Linked DNA regions of Arabidopsis thaliana. The protein of the gene in region 2 interacts with the protein of the main gene of each other region in a pairwise test. Each region holds a gene or a part of one and is shown on either strand. Other genes may lie near its edges.

Region 1 (5,000 bases), on a different chromosome or scaffold from region 2:
GATAAATTACTATATCGGCCTAAAGCATAAGTTTGTGCACAAAAATAAAATTAATAATAATTAACTTGTGACCTAAAAAGCATATAAGTATAACTACTATATTTAGCTTTATGAACCGGCCGGGCCTCCCATCTAATGTCGCCTTCAAAGTTTCATTTGTGGAAGCTCACATGTTTTCTGATCACTGTAGCCACCGAAGTCTTAGGCTCAGAGTCTTTCCAACGTTATAAATCGATCATCAGCTTCGGTGATTCGATTTCGGACACCGGAAACTTTCTTCATCTCTCCGACCCAAATCATCTTCCCCGATGGCCGCCTCATTATCGACTTCATTGGTATGAACTTCTTTTTACACCATCCCATATTCGCAGTTTAAATCAAAACTTCAGAAATATTTTTCAGTTTTTAGTATGAATAATCAAGATTCAACAAGTGTTCAAAAAAAAAAAAAAAAAAAAAAAAATCAAGATCCAATTAGTCAACTTAATTTGACAGCTGAATTCTTGGGGATACCATATATTTCCCCTTACTTTGGACATAATAATCAAAGCTTTGAGAATGGAATCAACTTCGCGGTGGCTGGAGCAACCGCGGTGGAGCCTGAATTGCTTCAAGAGAAAGGAATTACTGCTAATTACATGACTAATGTAAGCTTGATTGTTCAGCTAAGCATCTTCAAGAAAATTTTACCAAACCTCTGTGGCTTTCCTTCAGGTGATTCCTCACAAATCTCAACTCATCTTGGAACACAAGGGACAAGCATAAGCCAATCTTTACTTGTTTTCAAGATTGCAGAGAGATTCTCGAAAACTCGCTGTTTATTGTTGGTGAGATTGGAGGTAATGACTATAACTACGGATTCTTGATTGGAAAAAGCATCCCGGAGATTAAAAAAAATAGTCCCCCTTGTTATCAATGCTATTTGCTCAACAATTGTGGTAATAAAAATCTTTCTTAAATCCTGTTCAATGATCCTTCCCTTTTTCTTGTTTTGTTTGGGAGACTAAGAATTGAACCTTGCAAGCATGAACAACATGGTACAGGAATTGTTCAATTTGGGAGCCAGAACGTTTCTAGTGCCAGGAAAGTTTCCAACTGGATGTTCTGCTGCATATTTAACGAGATTTAGGACAACAGATATGTAGGACTACGATGCTTTAACCGGATGTTTGAAGTGGCCTAATGAGTTTTCTCAGTACCACAATGAGCAGCTTCAGACAGAACTCAATAGACTCCAAAAACTCTATCCCATTGCTACTATCAGATACACTGACTACTACGACATTGTGTTACATTTTTACCTTGAACCGACGAAATATGTTGCCCTTTCTTATTCCGTCCCCTTAACTAACATATATACAGTATTGTCACAATTATTTATATTACCAAATTTACTCTTTTGAAGGATTTATGGAGAGACCTTCACTGTTGATAAGCCATGTGGGTCTAGAGGAGTGAAACATTGTCGAGTTCCTTCTGAGTATGTGACGTGGGACGGTTTTCATTTGACCGAAGCCGCCTACCGATGGATTGCTAAGAGCTTGCTTAATGGACCACTTGCGTCTATTGCTTTGGCCGCTCCTGCATTTTCCTTTTTAAGCTGATCTACGGACATAGATCACTTTCCCTTGAGCACTTGGGACCTGTTGCTGCGAGTAAACTAAAATCACGTTCTTCGTTTAATCACATTGATTGTTTTTTTTTTTTTTTGTTGGTTTCTCTTTACTTTGTTTTCAAATTAATACACAATCTCTTGCTTGTACAACAAGTTTATGGGAGTAAATCTTTAAACTAATTTTTATTTGTTTATAAAAATTTTCTGAATAATTTTCTCTCTAAGAATGTAATTTTTTTTATTTTTTTTGATAAAAATAAATGTTGATATATTAAAATAGCCATACTAGATTATGATTTGCAGTGGAACCCAAGCAAGTATAAATCATGGTAGATAATCCGTAACTAGCTCGTAAATAACCTGCAAATAACTTATCACTCATGAATAACATGAAAATAATCTGTAGATATTTTCTAGAGGTTGGTTAGAACTTAGAAGTCCACCTACCCATCTTAAAACGATACAAATACAAAATTTTCTAGTCCATAAAAAGTTTTGTAGTCTTGGCCCACCATTATTTATAAGGCAACAACAAAATCATTGAGACATATACTCACCAGTCCTTTCTTTTGTTGTTTACGAAAAAACGAAACAAGATGTTTTGTAAAATAATATAACATTCTAAAAGCCGAAAGATAAAAATTTCACCGCGGACTTCTCGTATGGCGTCACTAGATTCTCTAGTGAGCTTCTTTTTATCTACCCTTTTTGTCACAATCGTGAGCTCACAAACGCAGTGCCGGAATCTCGAGTCGATTATCAGTTTCGGTGATTCGATTACCGACACAGGAAACTTGGTTGGTCTCTCGGATCGTAACCATCTTCCTGTGACCGCGTTTCTGCCGTATGGAGAAACCTTCTTCCACCACCCAACTGGCCGTTCCTGCAACGGCCGTATCATCATCGACTTTATCGGTACTTCTCTTTCTATGTAACTTGACATGTAAGTAAGTGACTAGGAATGTAAATCTGATGAAGTATCGAATCATGATCTTATAATTGGTCTCAGTTGGAGTGTTTTAGACGTCTTCAATCTCTGAGAAGAATCCAAAAACACAAAAAAAAACTGATAGTTGCGTTTGAACCTCTGTTTTCTTGTGTGGGCACAGCTTTTCCGATTTATAAAAATCTGGATTTTCTTGATTAGGGTTTCTTATGTAGACTCTTTCTCTGATTTGGTTTTTCTTGATCTGCAAGTTAACAGTAGTATGAGACCTTAAGTGATTCTCCAATTTTCTATTTACAGCTGAATTCTTAGGGTTACCGCATGTGCCTCCTTTTTATGGATCTAAAAATGGAAACTTTGAGAAAGGAGTTAATTTCGCTGTTGCGGGAGCAACGGCACTAGAAACTTCCATTCTTGAGAAGAGAGGAATTTATTATCCTCACAGCAACATCAGTTTGGGAATTCAGCTTAAGACCTTCAAGGAGAGCTTACCAAATCTATGTGGTTCACCTACAGGTACTGAAGATCAACTTTTCCCTTTTCTAGCTAGTGGAGTCATGATTATTACGTTATTGCAGTGAATTGACCTCACTTGTAATGGGTTTAATTCTTTGCTTTTAGATTGTAGAGATATGATTGGAAATGCTTTTATTATCATGGGAGAGATTGGAGGGAATGATTTTAATTTCGCATTCTTTGTGAACAAAACCAGTGAGGTCAAAGAGTTGGTTCCGTTGGTGATCACTAAAATTTCTTCTGCAATTGTGGTAAACATTCTTGATCAGCGAGTCCCTAGAACGAGTAATTTTTTCAAAAAACTGTTATGTTTTTTGTTTTGTTTTTGTGTTTTGGTACTGAATGTTGAATCTAGGAGTTGGTCGATATGGGAGGAAGAACATTCCTAGTTCCTGGAAACTTCCCGCTCGGATGCTCAGCAACGTATTTAACATTATACCAAACATCAAACAAGGAAGAGTATGATCCTCTAACAGGATGTTTGACATGGCTGAACGATTTTTCAGAATACTACAACGAGAAGCTTCAGGCAGAACTCAACAGACTCAGTAAACTTTACCCTCATGTCAACATCATATATGGTGACTACTTTAATGCTCTGTTGCGCCTTTACCAAGAACCATCCAAATTTGGTTAGCTTTCTTGATCCTTAGTTTAATTACCTAAAAACCCAAGTTCATTGATTCAATTTGATAATTGAGTTAATCATTCAATTCATTGTACAACTAGGGTTCATGGACAGACCCTTACCTGCTTGTTGCGGTTTAGGAGGACCGTACAACTTCACCTTAAGTAAAAAATGTGGGAGTGTAGGAGTAAAATATTGTAGTGATCCTTCAAAGTATGTGAATTGGGACGGCGTTCATATGACTGAAGCTGCATACAAATGGATAGCTGATGGATTACTCAAGGGTCCGTATACGATTCCTTCGTTCCATTGGTTATGCCTCGGCTCAAAAATTAAGAGCAAGGAGTCATTAGACACGTAGTGTTCTTTTGACAAACAGCTGAAACAAGCTTGTTGGAGCTCTGAGAGATAATAAGAAAACAAATACGTTCTTAAGTGCTTTCCATGGATATTTTATATCATTGTGTATTGTTGTTTGAGAGAGAGAGAGAGAGTGGTTAAGTGTTAGTAGCTAACTCATGTGATATCTTCAGAGAGATCTTAGATTAGACCGGTCGGAGATGCACTGTTCCAAAAATGGACCACTTCATGAGTGGTAGAAATAACAGAATAGGAGATGATAAAATGGGCAAGGAGTTGAACGGATCAATTTGACTTCTAGTCTTCAATACAAAACCAAACTACTCTTTACAAATCAATATATTAATACGATTTTTATAATAATTTTAATTATAAGACTAAGATTTGTAATTTAGTGGTTTTTGTTATTATCGTAGTTATGTTATTATCCGGTTTCAAATCAGCGTAATACGTGTTATTGACAAATAAATGAAGTGAAATTCAACATCAAATTAAAATATGGGAAAGAACAAATAACCTACAAAATAACTCGTAAATAGCTTGCAAATAAGCCGCAAGTACATATTTTGTAGATGGTGGTTAGAAGTCCAAGTACGCGTTTTATAGATTGGTGGTCACGCCTACCAATACAAAGTCTTGTTGTTATTAGAAAGTTAATTGCTTTATTTATTACAACTAGAAATCCTCGTTTAGTCATGAGTCATCGGTCCATCCCTCCACAATTGGCCTCTATATAACTTTCCCAAAACGAATCATTTGTAAAATAAAAAAAAATAAGATAGAAACTCACTCCTGACCTCTCGCATGGCGTCTCTAGACTCTCTAGTCATCTTTCTTTTTTCTACTCTTTTTGTCACTATCGTGAGCTCGGAAACGCCGTGCCCGAATTTCAAGTCGATCATCAGTTTCGGCGATTCGATTGCGGACACGGGAAA
Region 2 (4,339 bases):
GCTGTGGCTTTATCGATTGCTCTGCCTCCTCTTCTCCAGATTCTCACACTAACTTTGCCCCTAAACTTACCGTAATTTTCCTGCAACATTGCAATGAAAACGCTTCCCCAAGCACCAGCTCCTACACCAACGATCCTTAACGGGTCGTCATCAGCTTTACCCATTACTCTACGAATCTCATCAAGCCTTTCTTCCACCAATCTGCTCGGAACTGAATTCGTCTCCACCAAATGATCCATCATCAACAAAGCCTTATGATTTCTCTTTCAGTGACTCAATCCACTAAAAACACAAGCAAGCTATGGAACAAAATCGGACTTCTTGTCGGATTTATCAATGCTTAAAACTGGAGACGACTTTTTCAGGAAAGTTTGTGTTTTTATTTTATTTTCAGGTAACTTGTACGACGACTAAGAAAATGATAGCTGGCTTTATCTATCTACTCTGGGCCCAACTAACTTAGTCTAGTGTCCACTTTTATAACCTTCTCTATAAGAGTTCGAATCCAGTTAAGGGATTTTGAGTACTTTTGACACGTCTTATTCAAAGCTTGATCACATTGTTATTCTCTTTGTTTTAGGGAAAAAAGGTTTTAAGGAATCACTATTTTCTCTATTGAAATGAAAACCTAGCTTGTGGAAAAGTTGTCTGTTAATAAAGAGAAAAAAAAGAATTATCATCACGAGAGGATTAGTTCTTGAACATGGGAGAAAGCAAATCTTCCAATGAACTACGATCTGTCTGTAAAAAGGTTTTAAGTAAAGATTCCCTGGTACATTTTAAGGCAAAATAAGTTCAAAGTCATAATAAACTCGATACTTTTAGACACGAGACATGCCGAGTTTGCGTTCAAACAAGCGACGCAGAAGATAAACTTGGAGAAAACTTGCCCCAATCAGTGCAAACGACTCGAACAAAGCTTTGTGTACTGCTCTTTTGCTCATGTTCTCGTTCACTGCACAAGGAACAACCATATTCAAACCATCACTCAATATTGAAGTGAGAACAACAAATGTGGTTTTTAGAGGAAAAAATGTTACCGATAGCTTGACGATCGGTCTGAGCTTCTAACCAATGTTGTTCAAATTGGATGTTGTAAAGAGCCTCCTCTAACTTTGATATTTGCTCCATCAAGGGAGTGAAATGCTCTGCACAAAAACCATCTTCAGCTAAATACCTCATCACCAAACGAAACTGAAACAAAACTAAACAGATAATCCTTACCGTCCTTTGCGTGTTGATCGTAGTATGCAAAGTGACCAAGCTGTACATCGAAGTCAATGGTTTCATGATAAGGAGACTTGTTTGTGAAACAGAATCTGTAAACCCCTTTTTTTTGGACAACAAAATCATGCTTTGCGCTTATCTGCTCCCTGAAGTCATGAATTTGTTCGCCTGTTGGGCCATGTATCTATTCAAAATGCATCCAAAATATATCAACAACAACAACAACCACCAAATTAACCAGATGGTACAATATAACAGCTTTAAAGAGTAACCAAATTCTTTATCAATACATACTTCAAATTATCTACCAACATTAACAATGGAAATCCTAAGCATTGTTTAGGAATACCAATTCTATTGATTTTCGACGATTTTGCAATGTAGAATGTAGAAAAGTTCAATTAGAAGAAAAAAAGTCATACCACAAGATCTACACCATCCTCGTTAAAATGCCATTGAGAGTCAGACTTGATGACGACGAAAGAGACATGAAGCGTATCACCTTCATATTCAGCCTTGTGGGAGAAACATTCTTCACGGTCTATCACGAATCTAATCCCTAACGTAGCCTGGAAGCTCCATAAGAGCCCTAGTAATACGATCGTACCCTTCAAGCTCATCTGCCACAATAATTTCGAATTATATCAAAGCACAAAACGCAATTCAATCGTTTAGAAGAAGAATCGACTAGAGATTCCAAACCAAACCAAATTGAATTGTTCCAATTTCGATTCCTACGAGGTGATTAGGTTTGACACAGAGAGTGAGAGGGATTTACCTTCTTGAGAAGATCAAATCTGATGATTGATTGATTAGATCGATGGAAACTCGATCTGGTCGATGAGTGTTAAGAAAATTTGAAGATTGATCGGAGTAGAAGACGGTGGAGAGAATTGGATGAGAAAGAGCGAGCTCGTTCAGAATCGGACACGAAGAAGCCTGTTTTGACTCAAGGGGCAGTTTCGTTACCCGACAAGATCATCAAACTATAAACGACGTCGCTTGCTTACTCTTTGGGTTATTTGGTCAGCGGGCTTACGTGGCGTTATATCATTGGAGATAAAACATCTTTAAACCATTTAGATATTGCCACGTCATATTATGTCGAAAATGGAAACTCCATAAAATCAGTACGTTTCATTAGGAAGACTTTATAGGTTTCTCGTTTTTTACTTTGCCACAGTGGAATGTTTACTTGCTTTGCTAAAGAAACAAATGTTCTGACGTGTACCATCAGATTATCTTGTTTGCGGTAACAAGGAGTGTGAGTTTTGGTACGGTTTTCGTTATGAGTTGTAGTCAGATATATTCTTAATTTTCAAATTATCTTTGTTTGTTGGATCGATTATTTCAGTTCGATTCGGATCAAATACGAAGAACATGTTTCTACCCTTACTCTCTCATGCGTTTCCTTAATTAATCAATTTAGGTTCAGGTTTTGAGTTTATAGAAAATGATCAAATTACATATATGGCTGGACCAATATATTCCTATACGAGTGAGACAGATCCAACCATGCCTACACCAACGTTCAATTTTTTTGTAATAAAAAACTACATTTTTGGTTGAAGCACAACGAGGCCTACCTTTGATCCATCTTAAAGCTGTTGAAATGTCCTCATTCAACATTCACTTGAAGAAGTTCCTAAGTCCACTGAAGAGCCGTAGAGCCTTCAGCTCACCACTTCTGATATCTCTCAGTCTCCTCCTCAGAATCTGACCCAAACAAAACAAAAAAAAAAACACAGATTCCACAATATCATGGATCGATCCACAGACTCTTATCTATCGTATTGGCTAGAAAGTTGTTCCTTACGTATTGAGCACGGTACAGTATCCTGCGCTCACTAGTGGACAAGTCTACAGCTAGCTGTTTCAGAAACGCTTTTCGGTTCAACTGTTTTGGAGATGTTATGTCCAAATCCATTGATCCACTTTCCTACAATTAGATAATTGACAAAGCAAACTATAAGCAGATGGAGTGAAAATTTTCCCACAAAGAGAGAGAGATGAGCTGTTTTGTTACTTACCTTTAGAAATCGGCTGTACTTTGATATGCTTGTTTCGCATGAGTCCAGTATGAACTGCAATGCGTCTTCCTCGATTTCAGGATATTTTAGATCATTCTTTGTTGATGTCTTATTTGAAGCAGCTTTCGCCATCTGAAATGGATAATAATTGATAAGAGATGTATTATGAATTTGGGAAGAATTGGATGGTAAAAAGGGTCAAGATGGAGTTGCCAAACCTCTTCAAAGTTGTTTCTCATATCTGGAGGGCTCACCACAAGATAAGCATATGCCATTAGCTCCATTGGCCAACCCGTTATCCTTACGGGAAAGCATTGAGGTCTGCCAGAGAAAAGTTAACACAAACAATCAAAACAAAACTCAAGTTAATCAAGAGAGATCTACAAATTTGAGAGGGGAACATGGATGGTGGAGAATGGAATACGTCGATAATCCGTGTTTCTTTAAAGCATCCAGCTTTTCCTCGTAACACTTATCGTTTTTCCTAAGTGATAATGCTAGTTCTACTGAATCACTAGGATTGGTTCCTTCTCTGGGAACAAACCCATAAGATAACAATAGCTCTCCGTTAGATTTATTCCCATAGGATATGAAAACCTGCACAATGTCATGTTACTGAAACATATCAGAGACTTCAGACAACATTGGTTCCACTTTGGACTGACTTACTGAAGCGCTAAAAGGCAAACTGTGTAAACGGGACTTCTTTGTGTTATACACTGACTTATATTAAACTTCAATGCTCGCTCAGGTTATCTGAATGAATTTATCTTATTTACCTGCTCACCTGGTTGATATGGTCGATCTGTTGTAAAGACAACTCCTTTTGAAGATTTATCATAATCCAGGAACGTCTCAACCTTTCCAAGCAGATTTTGAAATATTGATTACCATAAGTCAATCATGCTTTCTGATTAGGAGAATCTAGGAGCTAATTGGTCATAAAGATAAGTAGAAGTACCTCACAATTATGATTAAGCATATCTGCCCATGGAACTAAGGCAAATCTTCCATCCATAGAAGGCAACCGCACCTGTGTTAGAGAAGCTTAAGTCTGAATTGCAGAGACAAGCACGCAGCAC
Region 3 (6,396 bases), on a different chromosome or scaffold from region 2:
ACAAACTCTTATTTGAGTTTTAAAGCCGTAAAATGGAAGGAATAATCAAGCGAAGATCCACCAAATCTTACCTGAAGATCATTAGGAACATATCCAGCATCAACAGCAGCACGAGTAGCGCCCACTGTATAAATGAAACAGTTATACACGTACATTTCGAAGCACATTCACTTGAGAGATAAAACAATTTCTCCACACTCACTGGTGATTAGGATAAGCATGTATAACTAACCTGCTCCACCAAGTTTTTCTGCAAGCTTTTCGATCATTTTAAAATTCTCAACACTCTTCAACGCCCTTCCACCAGTGATCACAACACGTGCACTTCCAAGATCAGGCCGTTCTGTATCCTGAGTTGAACGTCCCACATATCTAGATTTGCTGACAGAGTCTGCAGTGAAGAATAGCAAAACCATTCACAAAAAAGAACCACCGACGAAAACACGAATACATAAGAGAAACACTAAACGGACCGTCTTCAAAATTTGAGAGATCAATCTGAGAGACAGTAGCTTTCTTTGACTCTGAGTTTGCTGTAATCGGGGTGACAGGAAAAGATGTAGATCTAATAGTCAACATACAAGGACCCGCACCAGTATAACGAACTGTACACAAAGCGTTTCCCGCATAAATAGGCCTGACACAGATAAAAATCTTGGTTTCAGTTCACAGTTCAACGAGAACGAGAGAGAGTTGGAATGTACCTGATAAACTGGTCAGATCCTAAGATTTTGACAACATCAGTAATAGGAGAAACATCTAAAAGAGCAGCGACACGGGGTAATATATTCTTGCCAAATGAACTAGAGGAAGCAAGAATGTGTGAGTAATCTCCTTGTTGCCGAACAAAGTCAACCAATTTAGCCCAAGGCTCAGCTAAAGAGTACTCAAATTTATCAGAATCAGCAACAAGTACCTACAGAAAAAGTACCAACACTGAGACCACAAAACCAAAAGAAAGCAAATGAAGAGAAGGGAGAATGTTGTAGCTTACCTCGGAAACAGAAGGATGACAAGAGGCAGCTTGAGAAGCAGCTTCTTGAAGAGAAGAACCAGAACCAGCCAATAACAAAGAAATTGAAGAGCTCTCACCTAATGAATTAGCTGCAACTACTGTACTCACTGTCTGAGGTTTGATTGTACCACTCTCATGTTCTGCTAGAATCAGAGTGCTAATCTATATACAACAACAAAAATGTACACAACACAAAAGTGTTATTGTGAATTTCTCAGCATAACAACAACAAAATGATTATCTCAATATATATATATATATAGAAGCTTCACAAATTGAAAATTTTCAAACCAAGTAGAATGATAAAATTGAAATCACCACCACAAAGAATGCTCCTTTACCACTTCCGATTCATTTTTAATATGAAAAAATCGAATTTGGTCACGACGAAAATGAATGATCGATTCCAGCAAAAACAAAAGATCGAACTGAAGGAAAATGGGTAGGAGATAAAAGATCATACGCATCTAGAGAGACTGGTGATGGAAATGGATATAGATCGAGGAGCATTAGAGGCGACGAACTTATTCTTCGTCAGAGCTCTCAGTAGAACAGTTCTCGTCATCGTTTTCTCTTCTGATTGGTTTCTCTCTCCTTCAGATTTCAGAATTCTCGCAAAAAGAAAGAAATAAGCGAACTATGGCAAACGTCGTCGTTTATAACAATTTCTTATTGCTATAGGAACTACGTCGTTTATGATAAAGCTAATTGTATCATTTTTAAAGGAATTAATAATTGTTTGAACTTTAAGGATGGTCAAAGATCGAAGCTGATTACTTCATTTCCATTTGTAGTAGATTAGATTCGACAGATTTCACAACTTCCATATTCTAATTTTCTAATTTTTATGGTACGATGATGATTCCTGAAAGAGAACAAAATAAAAATCTAACCTTTAAAGGATTAGAATTCTTCCTGCCAAAAAAAAATCTGTCTTTTTGAGCTTTTTCGTGTAGAGTTCCCATAGTTAAGCAAAGTGGGATCACGACGGCTTTAAGAACAAAATCCTAGATACAGAGATAGAGAAAGAGAGCTCATTGTCAAGATCTGTTTTTTTCTTTGTTAGAATCCTTTCTTCTTTGTTACAGCCATGGTTTCAACCTCCAAGATCAAGTCCGTTGATTTCTACAGGTGGGAACCCTCTTTCGTGTAACAATTCCAATGATAATTCTCTCGATAATGGTTTTTGACGCACTTGCAAAAGTTTGTACCTTTCTATACATTTTCGACTGTATGTGTTTGATTTTGCCTTTTTGATAATTCGAAATTGGTTCTGTCTTCTCGTTTTTCATCTTGATGATGAACTGTGCATCGGATTACGGATAATTACTCTGTGAACTGTGTGTTTGTGTTGTCTGGAGTTAGAGCTGAGAGTAATTTGAGTTCCATTTGTTTCTTCAGGAAAATCCCAAGAGATTTGACTGAAGCATCTCTCTCTGGTGCTGGATTATCCATTGTAGCTGCCCTTGCTATGTTGTTTTTGTTTGGAATGGTAGTAAACTAATCTCTGCCCTGTTTTCTTCTTCTTCTTCTTCACAATCTCATATTTTCTGATTCTTGTATCTTTTGCTTCTTCCTCTGTGTAAGTGAAAAATACCGTATATCCAATGATTTTGGTTGATTATTTAACTTTCAGGAGCTGAGTAGTTATTTGGCTATTAACACTAGCACATCTGTAATAGTTGACAAAAGCTCTGATGGGGACTTCTTAAACATTGATTTTAACATCAGGTAAATGGAATTCATGTGTTAGTATTGGTTATAATAAACAATGCCAACATGCCATTGTTCTTTTCTTTTGTCTGTTTGTGTTTCAATCTCTCTACAATAGTGGCGGTGTCTTCATAAATTGATGTTTGGTTTTGACTTATTTCTTGTAGCTTTCCTGCCCTCTCATGTGAATTCGCATCAGTTGACGTGAGTGACGTGTTTGGAACTGTAAGTTTCGGTTTCCAATTCTAAGTATTTCTGTTTCTAAGATCCCATTTTGCACTGCGTGCATACATTGTCTCTTAGCTGTTTTATAAACACAAAAGGAAAGAAAAAAAAGCAAAAGTTTTGACATTATTTATTGTTACAGCAAATGTATGTTATAAGTTCTCATGCTAGGATGTTTAACTTTTGTTGTGCAATGACAATGATTATGTCATTTCCTATGTTTAAGTTTTGTTATAAACTTCTTCAGCACAGGTTAAATATATCGAAAACGATTAGAAAAGTTCCAATTGATCCGCATTTAAGAGCCACTGCTGAGGAATTTCACTCCACCTCTGATTTACATCTCATCAACCATGGAGACGAAGATCATGGTGACAATAGTACTTATGCGGATATACCCTTAACTGGTGCTGCTTTTGAGAAGTTTACACATCAGTAAGTTGGCAACTTAATCTATTTTGTGTATACTATACTATATATGAGTACCTGTCCAAGGGGCTTAAAGATGAATGAATGAAATTGGACTTTCTTGATGCAGTTTTCAAATTTTGGTTGTTAATTTTTATGCGCCATGGTGCTACTGGAGTAATCGCCTGGTAATGCTGTTTTGCGTCTTATAGTAAACTTGTCAATTTTCAAGATACTTTTCATTTAGTATGCAACTACTAGATTTTTTTGATGAAACTAGATTCTAGATGTTCTCATCACAACTTAGTTGGCTTCATCGAATGAGAAAGAATTTGCCTTTGTTTCCTATACGACTGTAATTATAATTAACCAAGCTATGAAGTCTAGCAGATAATATCTTCTTGGTAGATGAATCAAACTGTTGTGAGAGTTTTTGTTGGTCTGATAATTACCTAAGTTAGCTCAATAAAATATGTTCATGCTTTATCTCTTACCTTTTTTTTTTTGTTTTGGCTCCTAAAATTTTCAGAAACCATCTTGGGTGAAAGCATCTCAAATAACGAGAGAAAGGTGTGTGTGTTTTTTTCTCTCTGTTATAAAATTATTTCTGATGATGTAACAATAATTATCCAGTTACGCTTTGCTGATGCTTTGTTTTTGGAACATCTGATGTTGCAGATATAATCCTGGAACTGATGATCGTGTTCTTTTAGGAAGTGTTGATTGCACAGAAGAACCTACCCTATGTAAGAGGTATTTCCAGTCTTGATATTTTCCTCCATATTTTTTGTTGTTTTATGGTATTATTCAGATTGATTTTTTCAGTTTGACTTAAGCTTAGTTTACCAATCTTCAGCAATCATATACAAGGCTATCCATCTATTCGGATTTTCCGCAGAGGCAGTGGTCTTAGGTGAGAAAATGAGCTAAATTAGTTCCTTAAGTTTACGATTAGCTTCAGTTATGATTCTTCTTGTCATCTACTTAAGCATTTTGTAAAACTCCATTCCCTTTTTCGTGATCAATTGTTATCTAATCTTATCCAGGGAGGACCATGGGAACCACGAACATGAATCTTACTATGGAGATCGGGACACAGATAGCTTAGTCAAGGTAGACTGGTCTTAGTTAGATTCGACCATTAGGATTATATGATTCAATAATCACATCCTTATACCTGCTTTTTGTGTATTCATATAAGAAACTGTGTTTCCTTGAAAAACTTTCATATACAATAACATGACTATTCCAGATGGTGGAAGAACTGCTCAAACCTATTAAAAAGGAGGATCATAAGTTGGCTTTGGATGGTAAATCTGATAATGCGGCTTCAACTTTTAAAAAGGCACCAGTTAGTGGAGGTTGTCGAATTGAAGGATATGTTCGCGCAAAGAAGGTAAAAATGTCGAACGTCCAATTTTATGTGATGTCCGATGATTTTTCTTCTTGCTTATCTTTCCTCTTTTCTTATGGTGCCATTTTGTCTTTTATATTGTTTGATCTCAGGTTCCCGGCGAACTTGTAATCTCAGCTCATTCAGGAGCTCATTCATTTGATGCTTCTCAAATGAACATGTCTCATATTGTTACCCATCTAACATTTGGTACAATGGTTTCAGAAAGGTTGTGGACTGATATGAAACGATTACTGCCTTATCTTGGCCAAAGCTATGATAGGCTGAATGGAAAATCGTTCATCAATGAACGACAATTGGATGCTAATGTTACAGTAAGTTCCACAAATTTCCATGTGAAGTACTTTCCTACTCGAGGTTTCTCTTATGATATATGTTGGCAATACAGATCGAACACTACTTGCAAATAATCAAAACAGAGGTCATTTCAAGAAGATCCGGCCAAGAACACTCATTGATTGAGGAATATGAATATACGGCTCATAGCAGCGTAGCTCGTAGTTACCATTATCCTGAAGCAAAGTTTCACTTTGAGCTCTCTCCAATGCAGGTATCTCTATGCAAATTTACACAGATGAGAAGATACTATATATCTCGCTACTAATTTCGTTGCCTATTCTCCTTTTTCATACTTTACATTTGATCCTTGCTCTGTATTTTGCAGGTCCTAATAAGCGAGAACCCAAAGTCATTCTCGCACTTCATCACAAATGTTTGCGCCATAATAGGAGGTGTTTTTACGGTATAGTATTTGTCTCACAGCCTACCTTTGTTTCATTCTCTGTTGAATTCCTTCATGAGAAAGTAAGATTTTTGCTTGTTGGATTTCAGGTCGCGGGAATACTAGATTCTATATTTCAAAACACAGTTAGAATGGTGAAAAAGATCGAACTCGGGAAAAACATTTGATCAGGAATAAGTGAGGTTAGATGTTAGTTTTTCCAATTTTTTAAGATCTACAAAACCATAAAGAGACACCTCAATTTCTTATATAACTTGTAGACCTTGTTTATTTTCGAATAGCCGTTTGAAAGAGAGAATAGAGTAACAATCTTCTTTGCAGCGTCTTGACTTCTTCTTGATTCTTTGCCTGTAATTTAACCGCAATGTTTTGGTTACTCTTTATTTTATAAATCATAGTTCTTGTAGTTATATGAATTGTGTATATAATTTAAATTAGAAATAAACAACAACAACACACACATACGCCAATTTACCAACTGAGCTGAAAAGATAAAGAAACAGAGTAACAATGAGAGCAGAAGACAAAACAGAGGAAACAAGGCGAAACTGTGTTTCCGGGAGGATGAGGGATGTGTGTCCATCTGTAAATTTAGTGTTGGATGCATCTGTGGTGCAGCTATCATAAGCGTCTCTTGAAGCACCTAATCTTGGCTTGGATGGTAGACGAACACAGCATTATCCATGACCATGACTCTGTAAGAGTTATGTATGGAATCAAGTAGAGTGGTTTATTAGGAACTTACACCGAGTCAGTGTATAGCTGATGGTCTGATCGAATGGTCCAACCCTTTGGGTCCATCTATCAGAAACTCTCTGGCACAGATCGTTAACACCATACACACGAGAAAACCGAACTCATTGTTCTGCATAGGTCTCT

What was found. The genes of interacting proteins can lie anywhere in the genome.
Region 1: the proteins of p24beta2 (region 2) and AT1G28610 interact in a protein complementation assay, tested with the Arabidopsis thaliana proteins (one large-scale study listed by BioGRID).
Region 3: the proteins of p24beta2 (region 2) and AT1G50950 interact in a protein complementation assay, tested with the Arabidopsis thaliana proteins (one large-scale study listed by BioGRID).

What each region holds. Positions count from the first base shown.
Region 1 is NC_003070.9:10,052,943-10,057,942, reverse strand, and holds AT1G28610 (GDSL-like Lipase/Acylhydrolase superfamily protein), read left to right. Parts: upstream 1-2,061; 5' UTR 2,062-2,277; coding exon 2,278-2,530; intron 2,531-2,861; coding exon 2,862-3,077; intron 3,078-3,182; coding exon 3,183-3,328; coding exon of another isoform or gene 3,329-3,432; coding exon 3,433-3,709; intron 3,710-3,806; coding exon 3,807-4,066; 3' UTR 4,067-4,500; downstream 4,501-5,000. Other genes in the region: AT1G28600 (GDSL-like Lipase/Acylhydrolase superfamily protein), read left to right, coding at 4,870-5,000.
Region 2 is NC_003074.8:2,453,135-2,457,473, reverse strand, and holds p24beta2 (emp24/gp25L/p24 family/GOLD family protein), read right to left. Parts: upstream 2,236-4,339; 5' UTR 2,006-2,235; intron 1,848-2,005; coding exon 1,650-1,847; intron 1,412-1,649; coding exon 1,225-1,411; intron 1,149-1,224; coding exon 1,041-1,148; intron 956-1,040; coding exon 822-955; 3' UTR 556-821; downstream 1-555. Other genes in the region: AT3G07690 (6-phosphogluconate dehydrogenase family protein), read right to left, coding at 1-242; AT3G07670 (Rubisco methyltransferase family protein), read right to left, coding at 2,857-2,943, 3,044-3,166, 3,258-3,389, 3,476-3,578, 3,682-3,854, 4,037-4,117, 4,219-4,290. UniProt on the Arabidopsis thaliana protein: Involved in vesicular protein trafficking. Mainly functions in the early secretory pathway but also in post-Golgi membranes.
Region 3 is NC_003070.9:18,878,360-18,884,755, forward strand, and holds AT1G50950 (protein disulfide-isomerase 5-like protein (DUF1692)), read left to right. Parts: upstream 1-1,812; 5' UTR 1,813-2,105; coding exon 2,106-2,146; intron 2,147-2,416; coding exon 2,417-2,507; intron 2,508-2,651; coding exon 2,652-2,746; intron 2,747-2,895; coding exon 2,896-2,953; intron 2,954-3,200; coding exon 3,201-3,388; intron 3,389-3,491; coding exon 3,492-3,549; intron 3,550-3,890; coding exon 3,891-3,931; intron 3,932-4,039; coding exon 4,040-4,114; intron 4,115-4,202; coding exon 4,203-4,274; intron 4,275-4,407; coding exon 4,408-4,474; intron 4,475-4,613; coding exon 4,614-4,757; intron 4,758-4,867; coding exon 4,868-5,089; intron 5,090-5,163; coding exon 5,164-5,325; intron 5,326-5,439; coding exon 5,440-5,517; intron 5,518-5,606; coding exon 5,607-5,684; 3' UTR 5,685-5,896; downstream 5,897-6,396. Other genes in the region: ETFALPHA (electron transfer flavoprotein alpha), read right to left, coding at 72-124, 233-391, 474-637, 705-916, 995-1,177, 1,479-1,580.